2 linked regions of the Struthio camelus genome follow. The protein of the gene in region 1 binds, or shares a complex with, the protein of each later gene. Links are inferred from orthologs where the notes say so. Each region holds a gene or a part of one and is shown on either strand. Other genes may lie near its edges. The genes, in order: KPNA4 and RANBP3.

The links.
Region 2: the proteins of KPNA4 (region 1) and RANBP3 are in contact, whole or in part, in a crystal structure (PDB 5XZX), measured with the Homo sapiens proteins. The link is inferred for Struthio camelus from reciprocal best matches to the Homo sapiens genes KPNA4 and RANBP3. Residues at the interface, in NP_002259.1 of Homo sapiens: Arg96, Leu99, Ser100, Asp102, Arg103, Pro105, Phe133, Trp137, Thr140, Asn141, Ala143, Ser144, Gly145, Thr146, Ser147, Thr150, Glu175, Gln176, Trp179, Gly182, Asn183, Gly186, Asp187, Asn219, Trp222, Val225, Asn226, Arg229, Asp261, Trp264; in NP_015561.1 of Homo sapiens: Asn114, Tyr115, Cys116, Pro117, Pro118, Val119, Lys120, Arg121, Glu122, Arg123, Thr124, Ser125, Leu127.

What each region holds. Positions count from the first base shown.
Region 1 is NC_090950.1:31,080,058-31,088,220, forward strand, and holds the start of KPNA4 (importin subunit alpha-3), read left to right. Parts: upstream 1-5,087; 5' UTR 5,088-5,299; coding exon 5,300-5,368; intron 5,369-5,495; exon of another isoform or gene 5,496-6,122; intron 6,123-8,163. UniProt on the Homo sapiens protein: Functions in nuclear protein import as an adapter protein for nuclear receptor KPNB1. Binds specifically and directly to substrates containing either a simple or bipartite NLS motif.
Region 2 is NC_090967.1:1,733,371-1,741,603, forward strand, and holds the start of RANBP3 (ran-binding protein 3), read left to right. Parts: upstream 1-5,040; 5' UTR 5,041-5,143; coding exon 5,144-5,165; intron 5,166-8,233. UniProt on the Homo sapiens protein: Acts as a cofactor for XPO1/CRM1-mediated nuclear export, perhaps as export complex scaffolding protein. Bound to XPO1/CRM1, stabilizes the XPO1/CRM1-cargo interaction. In the absence of Ran-bound GTP prevents binding of XPO1/CRM1 to the nuclear pore complex.

The sequences.
Region 1 (8,163 bases):
GTTTTGCTGTTTTTTTTTTTTTTTTGTTAAGACAGTCCAATGCCGCAAGATCAAGAATTCAGAAGGGAACTGGTCTGTTCTTCAAAACTAGTCTTCCAAGTGCTGGGAGATTAGCACTGCAGATCTGAGGTAAAATCAAACCAGTAAGAATATAACATGATAATTGTTCCACTGAGAGCTAAACAGATTAATTAGACTACAGTTAAACAAAACGCACTTGATTAATCTCTGATTATGTCTTCACTGAAGTCATACTATAAATTATTCTTCAGATGATACCAGACCAGAAACACATATCAAAGACTCCTGAAGGGTAGTATTCCTCTGAACATACATAATTTAATAAGAACGAAGCACGTCCTTATATTTCATACAAAGGTACACTGTACAAAAGCTATACACACCAGAATGTTGCGTTAGATCTGACAATGCAAGCAGTAATGTGATTTTAGAATAGATTTGGTTTTGACGGAAGATTCTCCAAGGAACACTAACTCGGTGATTCTTAGCTATTTTCAAACGGTTACTCATAAAATGACAAGATATTGCTCAGTCCCTTGTCTCTGTCAATCTTTTTCCAATAATGTAGAGGGAAGGTCAAAAAAGAGATGACTTCATTAAAGGTCACTGTTCAACACTGAGTCAGTTTTGGTCACAAAAGAATGTGCTGGCTTTCCAATTCCATCTTTCCCAAACCACACGCTACGTAATCAGTCAGTGCTATGCGTGGTGACAGCAGGAGGTAGCAGAGGTAGGATGAGCTTGAGTTAGAAAAGACAGGAAAAAGGTAGCTACGAAAAAAGTTGTGATGGAGCAAAATATTTTTTCTTTCCTCTTCACAGACTTCTTCTGGATTGGGTCTTAGATACTATATATACATATATATGTATGTATATTTACTTTTTTTACTTTCATAACCTGACTATTTATAATCTCACGATACCGTGAGGAGTTTAACACTCTAGTACCTTGTCCAGTTTCACTATTAATAACCATGTCATTAGTATAATAATGTCGTTCCGCAGAACCAGGGCCTCCATTCTCCTTTAAGACACTGATTCACAAAGGAAACTTTTTAGAGCCACAAAATTTCAAAAAACATTCTGCAGAGATGCTTCTCAAGGACATCAAGCTCTCTCTTCTCAATGGAAGTGACATTACAACCAACCAGCAAGTTATTGGTAGATCTGGAAAATATCTGTCACCTTTTAATTCTGAGAGCAACGACTTCATTCTATAGTGTAACGGTAACTTCTCAATGTTTCTGTTTATATTTTTAGATAAAGTTGCAAAGCTATTGCACTCGTTACAATTCTCATCTTTTTCTTCTTTCAGTACATAATTTCCCCAGAAGGAGCTCAATTTTAAAGGTATTAACTGCATCAGCCATTCACAGCCATTCACAGATTCGTAGTACTGCATCCTGATTTTTCACATCTTTTGCAATGGTTATTAGTTAAATCTTTGTTATTTTTAGGTCTCTCTTTCTGGATTTCGTACCCTTAGCATGTAAAAAGCTGTGGTTCAGCAAAAAGTACTAGAGCACAGTTGCCAGTGAAATACTATTTCCATTATGTGATCAACTACGTGATTACAACAGGTATGTTCATCTAGGGCAATTTCAAAGATGACAGTCACTAAAAAAGATGAAGGGTTTTAAGTATTCTAGTGAAACATACAACACAATCCTTAATCACAAAAGGAAGCAGCTTTAAAATATTCTTGAAAATTAAAGCACAAGCAGGGCGTTTCCCTTCAGTTAATTAAAACGGTTCAGGTGTAAACAGGAGGTTATACAAGAAACTCATAGTAACAAAAGCTACAGCAAAAATTAGAGATTTCCAATTTGGTAAAGAAAAATATTTTACTTACTGATTATTTCCTGAAACAGTAAGTGCAGAAGCTACTGTCCCTGCTAAGAGTGATGAGAAACTATTTGGTGATTTTCTTTAACTGAATTAAAACTGAGGAAGCTGATACAATTTCTTGTTTCTAAGACGTCATGCATTGCTACTTTTTACATATTTTAATTTTTCTTGTCTCTTTATTAAAGACTTCTCTTTGGAAGTGACACCATCAATTTGAAAGTATATTACTTTTGAAAAAGTGAGGTATGATACTGCGATGGTTTTACTGCTGTAACATCCTGTCTTCCTAAGGCAATTGTGCTGTGGTAACAACCAAAATCTAGCTAAATAAGTGTTCTTTTTTCTTTTCTTTTTTCCTAATTAGTATTCTAAAACACCATCAAACTGACAAATTACTTTTTTGTTGTTGTTCGATTTAAATAGCAATGTCAGGGAAAAAGTCTTTCTTGTAAGTTCCGACTGCAATGTGTAGCGGTAGCTGTACCTAAGTCAGCTTTGAACAGGTTAGTTTACGTACTGGTAGAGAGCTAGCTATGGCTATATGGAATGCCACCTGGACTAATTAACCCTGACTAATTCACCCTACCCGCACTGTCGTGCCACTGCCGCTACATTCATGCAATCAACATGGCTGTGGTGACTCGAATTCTATCACTTTCAGGCTCGATTACAACTCTATCTAGGAACGGCGTCCCATGCTCTGAAAAATCTCCCCGACATAAAATATACGGTAGCCTGGGAGATCATCATCGTCATGTTTTCTTGAGCATAAAACTAAAATTAAGTTCTCTCTTCTGATATTCATAAATCTCCAAGTGTCTTAACTATACCTACTTGAAAGATTGCACCTTCCATCATGGCTTTTACTTTTCTCAACAAGTATGTTTAAGGAAAATCATAAGGCCACTGATGAAATGAGAGGCTCATCAACATATAAGACTTTAACAAAGAAGAAACCAGGCTTAATTCTACAAGCGTTACGACTGAATACAACTACACACGTGACCAGGACAGTATAACATCCAGTGAGCACTTCTACTTATCTGTAGAGGCATTCTTTTCTCGATCAAGTTAGAGAAGTAGAAGTTACCATCCCCTCTGCTCAGCACGTGCATGCTTTTTTGAATGTTCCTTATCTCTTTTCAATCAAAATGAACAAGGTTAGCTTAGACAGTTTGGACAGAACTTTTTTTCCAATATTCTGGAAGACTGGACACGGTACCACTACGAGCATTTTTTCCCTCAAAAATTACCATCGAGTCCAAACGTCACAGGCATTAACAAGTAAGCCTCGCGAAGAAAAACCACTGGATATTTTGTGAAGAAAATGTGTGGGTTTTTTTTTCTGGTAATCACTGAGTTGTCTACATTGCTAGAAATTCTCTGTATTCTAATCAGCTGCATCACAGAACAGCTAAAGAAGTGAGGAGTTTTCTTTTGTATTTCTGGGAGAGTCACTGTCAACAGGCAATAGCTTATCAGATTGGCATTCCCAAGAAAAAACTTTTTTGATAGCTAGGATTTACTAAAATGAAGGCAGGGACATACTCCAAGCTCCACATTTTTGGTGTAATCAAAATGCCCCGGACTATACTCAAGCAAAGCACCACTGTGGAATTTTCATAATATCATTCCCTTTGCTGGGGTGTTCAACGCAAATTCAGGAACCACCTCCTCCAGCTCACCACAGTTTGCATAACAGATGGGTAATACTTGTCACAAAGCACCCTGGAAGGAAGCAGGGAGTTAACAAAGGTGCCTAACACTGATAATTATACTTAAACGTGAGAAGCCTATCTGCTGAATGCTCACAATTAGTTTGGGAACGCGGTCCACCTACAGCCCTTGAGAATGAATTACAGTAATTGCTACTGGCCAAAATCTACCGCCACAGAGGCTGACTGTCATCATCAAACTAGTGAGACATGGGCCTACCTGAGGTAGCAGAGTCCAAAAGACAACAGCAACCTATTTCTGGCTCACTGCAGCCTATCTTCATCATCGTGCTAAGAGGCCAGGAAAGATCCATGATCTTACTGAAAAAGTCTTCTGCTCCCAACGCTGTTCATCCCTTATCTGTCAGAATTACTGCCACTAAATCTCGCTTGGGGGCTTGGTGTACAGCGGCTGAGCAGCGTAAATGAGAATACTGGCAAGTAAAGCTGAACTGCAGCACTCCCGCAGACAGATCTGCATACGGGTGGTGCTGATTCCTTAAGAGAGCTTACCCCGTCTCTCAGGAGGCTGCCGAGATACCTGCTGCCGCTTCCCGCGCGCTACTTCTTCCTCTTTCCAAAACCAGTCGCCTGAGCGCCAAAGTCTAGGAAAAGTACAGCGGGTTGGATTACGGTCTGGACGGCGTCAAACCGAGGCCACCTCGACAGCCCCAGTGCCTCGCTCCCTCCCGATTTCATTATTTCGTGAAGCTTCGCTGGTTGGCACCGTCCCGCTCCCCGCTAGGGGCCCGGAGTGGGGGGGGGGTGGCCCGCCGCCCCTCTCTCCTCGCTGCCCCGCGTTCGCCGCGCAAACCCTCCCCGCCGGCGCTGACACACACCCACGGGCCCATCCCGCGGCCACGTTTGGGGCAGTTTTGGAGAAACGTGTTGTGCTTGGTTTTGTTTATAAACCGGCGGCGAGTGGCAGCGCCTCCCGCGGGGGGACGTTCCTGAGGGCGCCGGGGGCGCCCCTTGGGGGTCAGCGAACACGAAGTGGAGCGGGGCGAAGGATGATGGCGTTGCTGACTTTCAGCTGGGTGAACGCAGCAGCAACCGCCGGGGTGGGGAGAGGACGAGTGGTGAAGGGAGGGAAGGCATCTAGGCCCGGCCCGGCCCGGCCCCCCCCGCCGCTTGTCGTCCCCCCCCCCCGCGGCGCGCACCGGCCACCCAAAATGGCCGCCGCGCCTGAGGGAAGCGGCCGAACCTCCTCGAAGGGCCGGCGCCCCGCCCCCTTCCCCCCCTCCCTCCTCCCTCGCGCACCGTCAGCGCGCGCGTCACGCCGCCGCGCGGCTCCCACCCTCCGCCTCGCTGCTCCTATTCGCCGCCGGCCTCGGGCGCCGCGGCCAATCAGCGAGCGCGGCCGGCCGGCCCAGATCGAGGCTGCCCCTCTTTTCCTCCCTCCCCTTTTCCCTCCCTCCCTCTCTCCCTCCCTCCCTCCTCTCCTTCCCCTCCCCCGCTCGGCTCCGTCCCTCGCTACCGGCACGTTCCGCCGCCCAGGCAGCCGGGCCCGCGGGCAGCGGCCGCCCCGGCAGCGCGGCGCGGCTCGGGCCGCGGCTCCAGCGGCGGCAAGGGGGACCCCGGCGGGCAGGGGCGCGGGCCCGCGAAGAGGAGGAGGAGGAAGAAGAAGAGAAGGCGGCGGCGGCGGAGGAGAAGGAGGAGGAGGAGGAGGCCGCCGCGCGCTCTCCCTCCCTCCCTCCCTCCCACCTTCCCCCCGCCATGGCCGACAACGAGAAACTGGACAACCAGCGGCTGAAGAACTTCAAGAACAAAGGCCGCGACCTGGAGGTAACCGCCGCCCTGTGGCGTCTTTCCTTAATCCGCCGGCCGGGGCCCCCGCGGCCTGCGCGGAAAGAGGCGGCAGCGCCTCCCCCCTTCCTCTCCCCTCCCCCCCGCCCGGCGGCGGAGGGGGGGGGGGTGAGGCCGCGCTGTGGGGCCGGGCGCGGCCGTTGGGCTCCGCGCGCGGGCGGCCACCGCCGCCGTCTCGCCACGCGCGTGAGGCTCCCTCACGCGTGAGGGGGAGGGGGCGGCGCTGGCGGCTCCGCCGGGCCCTGCTCTCCCTGCCTCTTCCCCCCCCCCCCCCCCCGCGGCCGCCTTGCCCTCGCGCCCCGGGCGCTTATCGGGCCCGCCTGGGCGTCGTAGCTAAAACCGCCCTTCGTTAAGGTGCTTCCGCGCGGCCGTGCTCGTCTGCCGCAATGGAAGTAGCGCGTTCGTACCTTTAATTTCCTCCCGAACGCTTAATAACTACTCTTTTTGCGCTGAGCAGCCCCGAAAAGCCTGAGTCAGGGATTAAGGCCCAGTTGTGCTGTTTGTCTCCAAGATACTCGAGTATTAATCCGTGACGTTAAGCGTAGGCAATAACTGTTCGCTTAAACGCACTTTTGGAAAAGGGGGCGAATCTTAGTATTTTAGTGTTAAATTCGCTGAGCCGTGGAAACAGTCGTGGCTTGTAGTATTCAGCCTCTAAACTTTTTGGAGGCCGGATTGCCATGTATGCTATTTGCTTCAGCTGTAAAGCTGCTTCGTCAACACAGCAGAAGAGGTAATTATTTTAGGGTTTCCCTAGTAAGTATTCTAATACTAAAATTATATATCGAGCCTCACCCGTAAATGCTTGCCAGCAGTGCTGACTGGGGAGCCTGTGTATGGTAATATTCATAGCGTGGGGGTTATGTCTGATGAAGAAATGGGCTTTGGATATTTCCATTTTGTATCTGCCTCAATATGTGTCCCTGTGAATAGCATAGTATAAGATCCTAGTCTTCCTATGAAATCGCCACACAGATGATTTTACCTTTTTTTTTTTTTTTTCGAAAGTAAAGGATGCGTTTACTTAGCTGTCTATCATTCAGGGAGAATATCAGCCATGTTTCTTCCTGGGCATTTGGCTAATCTAGAAGCCAATATCTTGGTGGTTTGGGAGGTTTTTTTGTTTGTTTTTTTTTGTTTGTTTCGAAACAGTATAGACAAATGAATATCCAAGGCAACTCCTTACCAAGAAACAATTGTGCTGGTATAGCAGTTTATTCTTCAGTTTGACAATGCCAAATGTTAAAATAGCTGTAAAGGGCAATAGTTAATGCAATGATTACGCTGTTGTTTAGTAGAGTTGTTACCTTTGTTAGTGAGAACTTGCCTTAGATGTTGATTTGTTTTTGTCTTAAGTTGTATAGTTGTCTTTGAACGGATAACTGAACAGGAAGAGACTGTTTAGGAAAGTGTGCAGTAAAGTATATGCTGACATACTAAAAATGAACCTTATGGAAAAGTATAGATTGGAGTGTGTCCGCCTTATTTCTCTTCTGGTGCCTACATACTTGGTTTTAAGGTAAGTCAGCTGAAGTAGGGAAGGCTTAACATGAACGCATGCAGAAATAAGAGCCCTGTGTGTGTGTATCGGGAAGCAGGTAATCTCTCAAGTATTTTTTGAATTCGCTGATGCATTTAAGCGGCCTTCTGTAGTGAAAAAACACTGTTGGGCACTGTTAAATTTTAGATACTGACATCTATCCAACAAATCTTGGAACATATGCTTGGTACCTAAAATAACTACCATGGACAGTTATTTTTCATACAATAGCTCAGGCTTATGGCTATCATTCTTATTTGTTAACTGCTTACACACCACGTTTTTCATCTGAGCATGAGATGTTGGTAGGGCTTGCTTGTAGTCAGGCATCCTATGGCAGCAACAGTTACTAGTGAGTGTTCAGTCTGTTCATAATACAGGTATATTTCTGTGTTGCTTTTGGCAGAAAGCTGTCTATTTATTTCACGTAGGAAGCCAACGTTTGATCTTTCTCTTTCCCTTGTCCTGCCTCCTTCACTCCTCCCCCACTTTACCTTTGCTGAAGTTGCATCTTTTGCCATTAGTTTCTTTTATTCAAAACGGGTGATCCTTTTTTCTTTCCTGTGACGGTTGGCCTCCATACACCATCTTACAAATCTTAAATCACTCTAGAATTAGTTTTGGTGAATGCCAAACTAATGAATTCTTCTGGGGACAATGGAGGTTTATCATGTTGCAGATTATAAACTCTTTAAAAATGGTTCACGTTCCTACATGTTTCTCAGCTCCATTGGCAATTAATTTAATAGTAGCTGCTCTCACATTGTACTCAACTTTCAGGTCTTTTCACCTGGTAGGGGGTTATTTGTCTATTTTTCAGAAAACAGAATTTTTAGCTTTTACCTTTAAAAATGCTAAGCATATGCTTAGCTCTTTGCCTATGTAAATATAAATTAAAGCTGACTTTCACTTTCCAGTTCATATCAATGTGCTTCTACAAATGTAAAGCCTGGTCTTAAAACAAACCCACGCTATTTTGCAAAATACGGGCTTAATGGAAGTTATTCGTGCACTTAAGCATGGGATAAACATGCATGCAAGGACCTGTTATGTTGTAAACAATTGCTGCTGTATGTTTGAAGATGACATTGATGACTAGGCTGGGAATAAAGAAATACCAGAAATACAGAATGCTTCCTTGTCCTTTTTTTGTTATTTATAGGATTGATCACATAAATATTGAGCGATACAGACTCTTTAACAGCTGAAGAGTTAGTGGCATGAGAGAGCTAAT
Region 2 (8,233 bases), on another chromosome or scaffold:
AAGATCTTTCTAAGTTTATGGAACTCGGGTAGCAAGTAGGAGACTCAACAAACTTGTCAGGATGACTTCTTGGACTTCTTGGACTTGGACATAAAATAGTCCAACCTGATCCAATACAAGAAATCAGAAATGGGTAGGAACCTGATCCAATACAAGAAATCAGAAATGGGTAGGATAAAGGCTTCCATTGCTTGCACTGTGTCTACTCCAGCTGTGTCCAGCGCTGGGACAGGGACTCAGAGAGATGGTGGGATTTCCATCCTTGGAGATATTCAAAACTCAGCTGGAAGGCCCTCTGAGGAACCTGATCCAACTTTGAATTTGGCCCTGTGTGAGCAAGAGTTTGGACTAGAAACCCCCAGAGGTCCCTCCCAGCATTAATTTTTCTACTATTGTATGATTCTTTTTCAGAGTAGTGCTACTCTACCCTACGTAATCGCTTGTTACATAGAACAGTTCAATTCCTGTAATAACCCTTCTTCCTTTTCCCTGCAGTTCTGCTAGTTTTACTGTATCTTTTGGTGGGGGGCGGGGGACAGGGGGGTGTTAAGTAGAACTGTACATAGTTTTCAACACATAGACACAAAATGAAATTATACATCTACATACTGATGTTTCTTGTTTGCATTTACTCTTGCCTCATAATTTCTAGTAGTCTCTTTGTGTCTTTACTGCTAATCACTGAGCAGATTTTTTCAGAGAACCACTCAACTCTAGTGTGTTTGCAACTGGTTGTTATAGGGGTATGTGTATACATACACACATACACACACACACACGCGCTCATATATACATACATAAATATAAATCATTGCTATATACAGTTAGGTTTGGTTTTCCCCATGTACATTACTTTCAATTTTTCAGTATTGTGAGGTTCTTCCTAAACCCTTCATTAGTTTCACTAATTAATATTAATTTAGTATAACAGGCAATGTTCCTGCTCTTTTCCCACTGGACTTTTTTGATGGCTTCTCAGTGATGTGCAAACAGACCAGGTATTAATTTCCTGTCATTTAACCAGTCAATAAGAGGACTTTCTGATCACCTGACTCATGAACACCTTGTGATCACACCAGAATACTCTTATGACAGGCATCTTGTTCCATACAAATCTCCAGGGTCTTCTTTTGCAGTGTTGCAATGTATGTGCTGCCTAATGTTTCTGTAACTGCCACAGGCAAGGCAACCAACATAGAAGACTGTTTCAGGGCCATTTTCACCCCAGGGACAAGAGTGTTCAGGGAGTGATGGGCAGATACCAGCTTCCTTGATGGAGCTGTGTTGCAAGACCGGGAGAAAAGGCAGGTCTAACTCAGCTGTGACATTCTCCCTCCCTTACAGGAACTGATTGCACTGGTGGCTGCAGTCTACACACTGTCCCCCTCAGACTATAATGTGAGAGTACAAAATACACACTAGTGGAACAAAATTATCCTCCAGAACTTTAATGACTGGCAATGGGTGCAAAATTTCCCCATGCAGAAGGTCATATTTCAGGTCATCTAGTGGAACTGGTGCTCACCATACAGTACTAAGAAACTATCTCTAGAATCCCATGACTGTTGAAAAGAGGGTTGTTTTCACCACTAGAGCCTAGTAAGCACCCACTGTTTGGATTGCTTTTATTAGATAGGCATGACTATTTTAAGAATGTATAACAATGTGTACAACAGTGTAAGAAACTATTCTAAGAATCAGTTATCTATCTCAGACATCACAGCCAACATCCTCACAGTTGCAGAGTTTCAGCTGACATGAATTTTTTAACTGAAGAAGGGCAACAGATGGGACATGCAATCCCTTATATCATCCACTCTGTAGTACATATGGTTACATGAATCACAAGAGGTTTCACGTATTTCAGGGCTTCAGCCATTGGGTTCATTACGCCAGAGTCTCAAGGTAGGAACTGTGACCACAGAGCTCCCAGCAGTGTTATCAGTCCCAGGTCTTTTATTGCCTAGTTGCTCCAGGGATTTCTTGTGCAGCTGGTCCAGGAAAAGACATTCCCTGTTCTGTCCTCCAGCTTTGGTCTACCCTGAAGCCAGTGTTAGAGCAGGATTTCTTTCCTCTTTCTCTCCATCTTTTGAGTACTGTTATCCACAACCTTTCAACAAGCAGGTGATACGCTACGTTCCAGAAGCTGGAGTAGGAGGTAGCTTTCTCATCTCAGGCATGTCCATCCTTTAGAATGTCTACACTACACTAGCGCCATGCCCTTCCCCTGCCCCCTGAGGCAACTTTGGGGATACCATGACCCTTCCCTCCAAGGCCCTGGGACTGATTTGCTCAGGACACGATGGCACACCACACAGGGGCAAGTTTATTTAAGTCAAGGAAAGATGGCAGGACCTTTCTCTGATATTTGAAAAGCATCACGCTTAATTGTATTTTCCCTCTGCCTTTGTAGTCTACTCTGAATAATGGATTGAGTAGAGTCTTAAAGTATCCCCTTCAATGTGGATTTGGCCTCCCTTGATCTCCATGACCTTCTAAAGATAACAGAGAGTGGCTGCTCAGTGACATCAGCCAGCTCTCTCAGCCCCCTGTGATGCAACCCTTTCGGTACCATGGGCTTGCGGGGGCTGAGTGTTCTCAAGAGATTCTTGACTTGATCCTCTTCCACTACAGATAGTTCTTCTCCTTGAACCCTACCTCTGGGCACAGAAGCCTAGACGACCTCCTTAGAAGAGGCTGTGGCAAAGGCAGCATTGAGTCCCTCAAGTTTATCTGTGTCTACTGTCACGAAATCATCCATACAATTCAGTAACAGTCCCATATTTTGCTTACTTATTGTTAACATAGCAGTAGAAGCGTTTCTTGTTTCCTTTGACATCCCTTGCCAGTTTCGAATCTAACTGAGCTTTAGCTTTCCTAACACCATGCCTGTAAGACCAAGCAATGTTTCTGTATCTCTCTTTTGTAGCACATGCTTGTTTCTGTCTCCAGTATATGTATTTTTTGTTCAGTCATGAGTTCCCTGTTTAGCTAAGTTTATCTCCTGATACACCTACTCATTTTCCTGATTGCTGGGATAGACTGTTCCTGTGCTTGGAGGAAGCTGTCCTGAAAGACCTGCCTGCTCTCTTGAGCTACTCTGACCTTCAGAGCTGCCTCCCACAGAATCCCATCTACCATTTCCCTGAATAACCCAAAATCTATTCTTCTGAAGTCCAGGATCTGTTACTTTGCTACTTGCCTTCTTCACTCCCCGCAGGATCCTGAATGCTACTATTTCATGCTTGCTACAGCCAACACTGCCCTTGATTACCACATCCCCAAACAATCCTTCCTTGGTCATGAGTACCAGATCCAGAACAGCATCTAGTCCAACTAGATGGCCCATCCAGCAAGGGTGTTAAGAATTTATCCCTAACACCCTTCAGAAATAACCTGGATTACTTGTGCCCACTGTGTTGTCCATTCAGCAGATAATACAGCTCCTACTAGTAGTCAAACAGCTCCAAATAGTACTGTCCATTCTTCAGAAAAGTTTCACTAAATGCTGACATCTGCTACTGGTTAAAGATAGGTTATCTTTTCTAATTTAAATTAGTGCCATTCATTTACTCTTACTAACTTTTGCCAGTTCTGCTGTCATCTACTGTCATATTCCTGATGAAAATTCTCCTAGCAGCAAAACCACATATACATACCTGGTACTTGGATGAGTGATTAGGGGCCTGGCCCTGATCACAGACTCTATTCCGTGCTCATGTGATGGCTTGTAAGTGATATATTCTAATGATTTTGGTTTTATAGTGTGCCACTGAGCTTTTCCGTAAAGCAATCACTAAAGGTAGGATTTATGTCATGTAATTCTAGGAGTCCACCTCTGAGCTATTTGCTGTTGGCTCCCTTTCTAATGAGTAGAGATCTAGTCAACGCAGTCAGTGGACTGGCCAAAGAAGCCAACAAAATATGGGGCACCATCAAGAACATTGAGAACACAACAGAATGTCACTAAATAATATACTGTATCTTTACTCTCTCTCTCTCTCTCTATGTGTATATATACACCATATATATATATTACACTGTATCAATTTGTGGCTATATAAAACGTTGGTGCACCTACATTTTGAGTAACATGTACAGTTCTGGTCTCTACATCTCAAGTGGGAGGCAGTGAAGTGAAGTCACAGAGCATAGGCAAAAATTGATCTAGGGGGTGGAGAAGCTTAGAAGGTGGAACTAAAATGCTTTGAATTCTTCAGTTTGGAGAAAAGGCTAGGGAAGAGATGGTCAAGGCTGATACAATCACAAAGTAACTTGCGGAATGCAGAATTATTGTCCAGTTAAATCCCACAAGACAACAACTGTGGAGCACTAAGGAAAGTAGTAAATAGAAAGTAATGAAAGGAGATTGGTTTAACTCAGGTGGTGAAATTCTGCATCTTGCAGCCATTAGAGGCTATGGGGGCTGACAGGAGTGCACAGCAAAATAGGAAACAGAAAGAACTGCGGACAACACGTCCAAAAGACCCCAATCCAACGACTGCAAACGCTGGAGGAAAGCAAGGGGAGCAGACTGAAGAGAGTAACTGGACTCAAGGGGGTGACCTGTTGGCACTGTGGCGAACCCAGCCAGGCTAGCCGGCCAGGCCCGACCCAGCCGGCACTGCGGACACCGCTCCGCGGAGGCCGGGCTCAGCCGGGCCGCACGGCCGGGCCGCAAGTGGCACACGGAGTACGGCCGACACCAGAGGCCTGCGCCGCTGCACCGCAACCGGTCGCGAAGTGCCCTCCTAGGCAGCCCAGCCCAGCCCCGCGGACGCCACCTGCCAACACAGCGGAGCTGCCGCTCGCGTCCCCCGACGGGCCCGGCCGGCCCTCCCTCGCGCTGCCGTCGCGCCGCGCATCCGGCAGCAGCGGCCGACGGCGCGCTCGCTCCTGCCCCTGCAGGCCTCCCACGGGGGCGCGCCCCTGCGCACGCGCGGCAGGGACCCCACGCGCCGGGGCAGCTCCCAGCACCTACGTGAGCACCCTTCCTGCCAGACTGCCGGCACTGGCCGTCGGCACATGCGTAGTGACTCAACGGAGCAGCTGTCCCTTTGCGCATGCGCTGCCCCGCTGGGCCCCCTGTAAGTGGAGGCCGTCCGGCTGCGTGATGCATTGTGGGCGTGATTGAGGAAGTAAAATGGCGGACCTAGCGAACGAAGGTAGGGGGACGCTGGTGGCGTGTGGGGGGTGTTGGTCGCGGCTTCTGTCGGTTCGGTCTCCGGGCGGTGGCGGCACTGACCCCGAGCTGGCCGAGCCTGTCCCTGTCATCTGGGCGCAGAGGAGCGCCCAGGCGCGGGTCCGCCCGCGGAAGCGCCCCCTTCCCGCGGCCTCTCCGCACCTCGGCTCCTCTGGGGCGAGTGGCCGGACAAAGGGAGCGACCGGCCGCAGCGGCGGAGCCGCCGCGCTCCTCTTCGGCCTTGCTCTGTCCCGTGCCGTAGCGCCTGCAGGGCTGGCGGCCCGCCGGGAGTGGGTGTCCTCGCTACCGCCGGCCCTGCGGGGGCTCAGGGGTGGCTGCGAGCGCGGGAGCGGTGGCCTCGGGCAGCGCTGGTAAATGTCTCCCGGCCAGGAGGTGGTACAGGGCTCACCGTGAGGCGGGGCGGCTCCCGGGGGCGGCGGCCGGCCCCAGGTCCCTGCTCCCGCACTTCCTGCGCGCAGAAAACGTGCACTGGTGTCCCCGCAGCGCTCGCCTGCCCTCCGGGGGAGGGTCGAGTCACCGCCGAAAGGAGCAATCGCCTAATGCTTAAACGTGGCAGTGAGCGCTGTTCTTCTTGTCCAGCAGAGTCGGTGGCCTCTTCGCATCTCCTTTTCTAGTTGTTCTTCGGGGTCATCGTCCCTAACTTTTGGACTATTGTAAATCTTCCTTAACTCCCGCTCATGTTAATTCTGCCTCTGGAGAAGGGAAGCTGTTATAGAAAGCTAGGTGAAGTCTAATAATTTTTTGCTTAGCTTGAAAGCTCTGTAAATAAAGAAACAGGACTTTTATTTCACTCTGAAAGGTATTAGTGAAATATCACTGTATCAATGTAGGGTTTGGAAATGCTGCTCCAAGGTGGATGGTGTGTAGAATGCTGTTTAACTGATGCAGCACATCAGTAGTCATTTGAGAATGAGTAATTTCCCTGGAAATCTCAGTAAACACAAGTTCATCCCCAGTGGTCTGTGTTGTTCTTCATCATTCTTCTCAGGCTAATGAAAGAGGGAAAATATGTTCAAGGAGGAGAATGAAAGTGTGTATGATGAAGCCCCTTCTTTTGAGAGCATTTCTGACACCGGAACAGTGGCTCTGATGTTAACATGAAACAACAGAAAGCAAACATCTATTGTAGATTTTGAGGATGCATCCTTCAATCAGCTAACCATACAATTACATTTAAATTATTTGACAAATCCTGAGATACGATGCATCTTTGGCTGTTGGTTCCCAAACTGAAGTGGAGTTGTCAGTGCCCAGGGACACATGATAATTGGTTTCAGGAACAGTAGTAAACAGTCAAATTGGTAAGTGGTTATTGATGGCAGTATATCAGACCTTCGATAATGAGCTTTGATGGCCTGTTGGATTCTTTTAGTACCAGAAGTTTGGGAATAACTATCTGAAGTCGTGCAAGCTCTCCACTTTAACTTCTAACTCTAAAGAGAAACATTAAGCTCAAAGGTAAATTACACATTACCAATGTTTATTATGTATTTTCATGTGGACTTGTCATGTGTTTCTATTCCTCCTTCTCTATCTTTCTGCAGAATGTTGTATACTTTTTCTGGAGGACAAAAAAGGTACAATCTTTACTTTTTCATCAGGACTTCCTTTTTCTCTCTTTCTTTCTCTTTGGACCCTTCCTTGACTCCAGTAGCGTCACTCACCAGCTAATCTCTTTTAGTTTGTGCTTGTATCTCCTTCTGCACTTGTCATCCTCATGCCCTGCTATTCTGTTTCTTCTTGCCATGAGAAAGTTTTTCTTAAGATCAAGCAAGATCAGTTTGCTTCTGAACTGTTGTCTTTTCTGCTCTTTCTGGTATCACTGGGTGCACTGCCTAGTGTTAGTTTTCTTTCCTCCAGATTCATTTTGGACTTATCTGTTCTTTGTATACTAGTGCAAGTATATGTACTTTATGGAGTTGGCTTCCTTCTGCTGAAAAGCCAGTGGCTTCCGTAGCCTTCCTACTTCCCCTGTTTGCTGTCTCTGACATTGCAATGATGTTCTCAGGTGACTTTGATTGTTGTCTCCTCATTCTTAAGCATATTTGTCTGTCAACTTTGGATTGTCACAGTATTGTAGATGAAATATTCATTTCCTGTGTCTGGGTATTCACATTTGCAAACATGAAATGACTGTTTCTTTACAGATAATTCTTTGATCTTCTACTCTGTATCAGTCTTTTCCTGTTTAAGGTATTTGACAGCTAAATGTTCATAGGGAGACAAATGAAGCAAGGTTAAAACAGAGCTCTTAATCTCCCTCAATCTTGATCAGTCTGTATAACAATGCTATCTTGATCATACCTCGTTATGAAGTACGAAGCTAATTATTCTTTGACTGAAACCTCTTTCTAGGTACTTGTATCTACTGCGTGTCATTCTCGCAGATTTTTTTATGCTTAGCATGTTTAAACAATAGTTTGCCTTGTGTGTTCATGCAAGTGAAACTCTTTGGCTCTTAATCCCTTGATTGCTGCATCAAACCTTCTGGCCTTGAAAGTTCTCTTTGTTCTGCTTGTGTCCTTTCAGCTTACTAATACAAAACTTATTTTAACCCATCACTTGTACTATAGCACCTCTTTGTTTCAATTCATTCATCAGTTTCTCCTTTTTAAACAATATATCAGTTATTTTTACTTTCTAGGTTCTAGTGTCTCCTACTCTATTGTCTTCATCACTATTGAGATGTGAATATTGTCTCCAAATAATCATTCTACCAATATCTTTTAAGCCTTCAAAAATGTTTTAATGAGCAGTCTTTCTGTGGTGCATTTCTTCACAACTACAAGCATGTCCTTTAATAGTCTCATAAATACTTTATTTTCCATTTTCTAATCCTTCCTTAAAGTTTTATTTTCACTTGTCTTTCCTCTTTTTCTCAATTGAACTGTTGAAACTGTAAAATTCTGTATGTAGTGGTTTGATGGCAAACTTTATCTTGGTGGAAGGTTGCTGTCCTCTACTGCAGAGTGGCAGGTGAAAAATGAGGTGATTCAAATGCCACCTCCTAAGGAAGCTTGTACTGTGAAG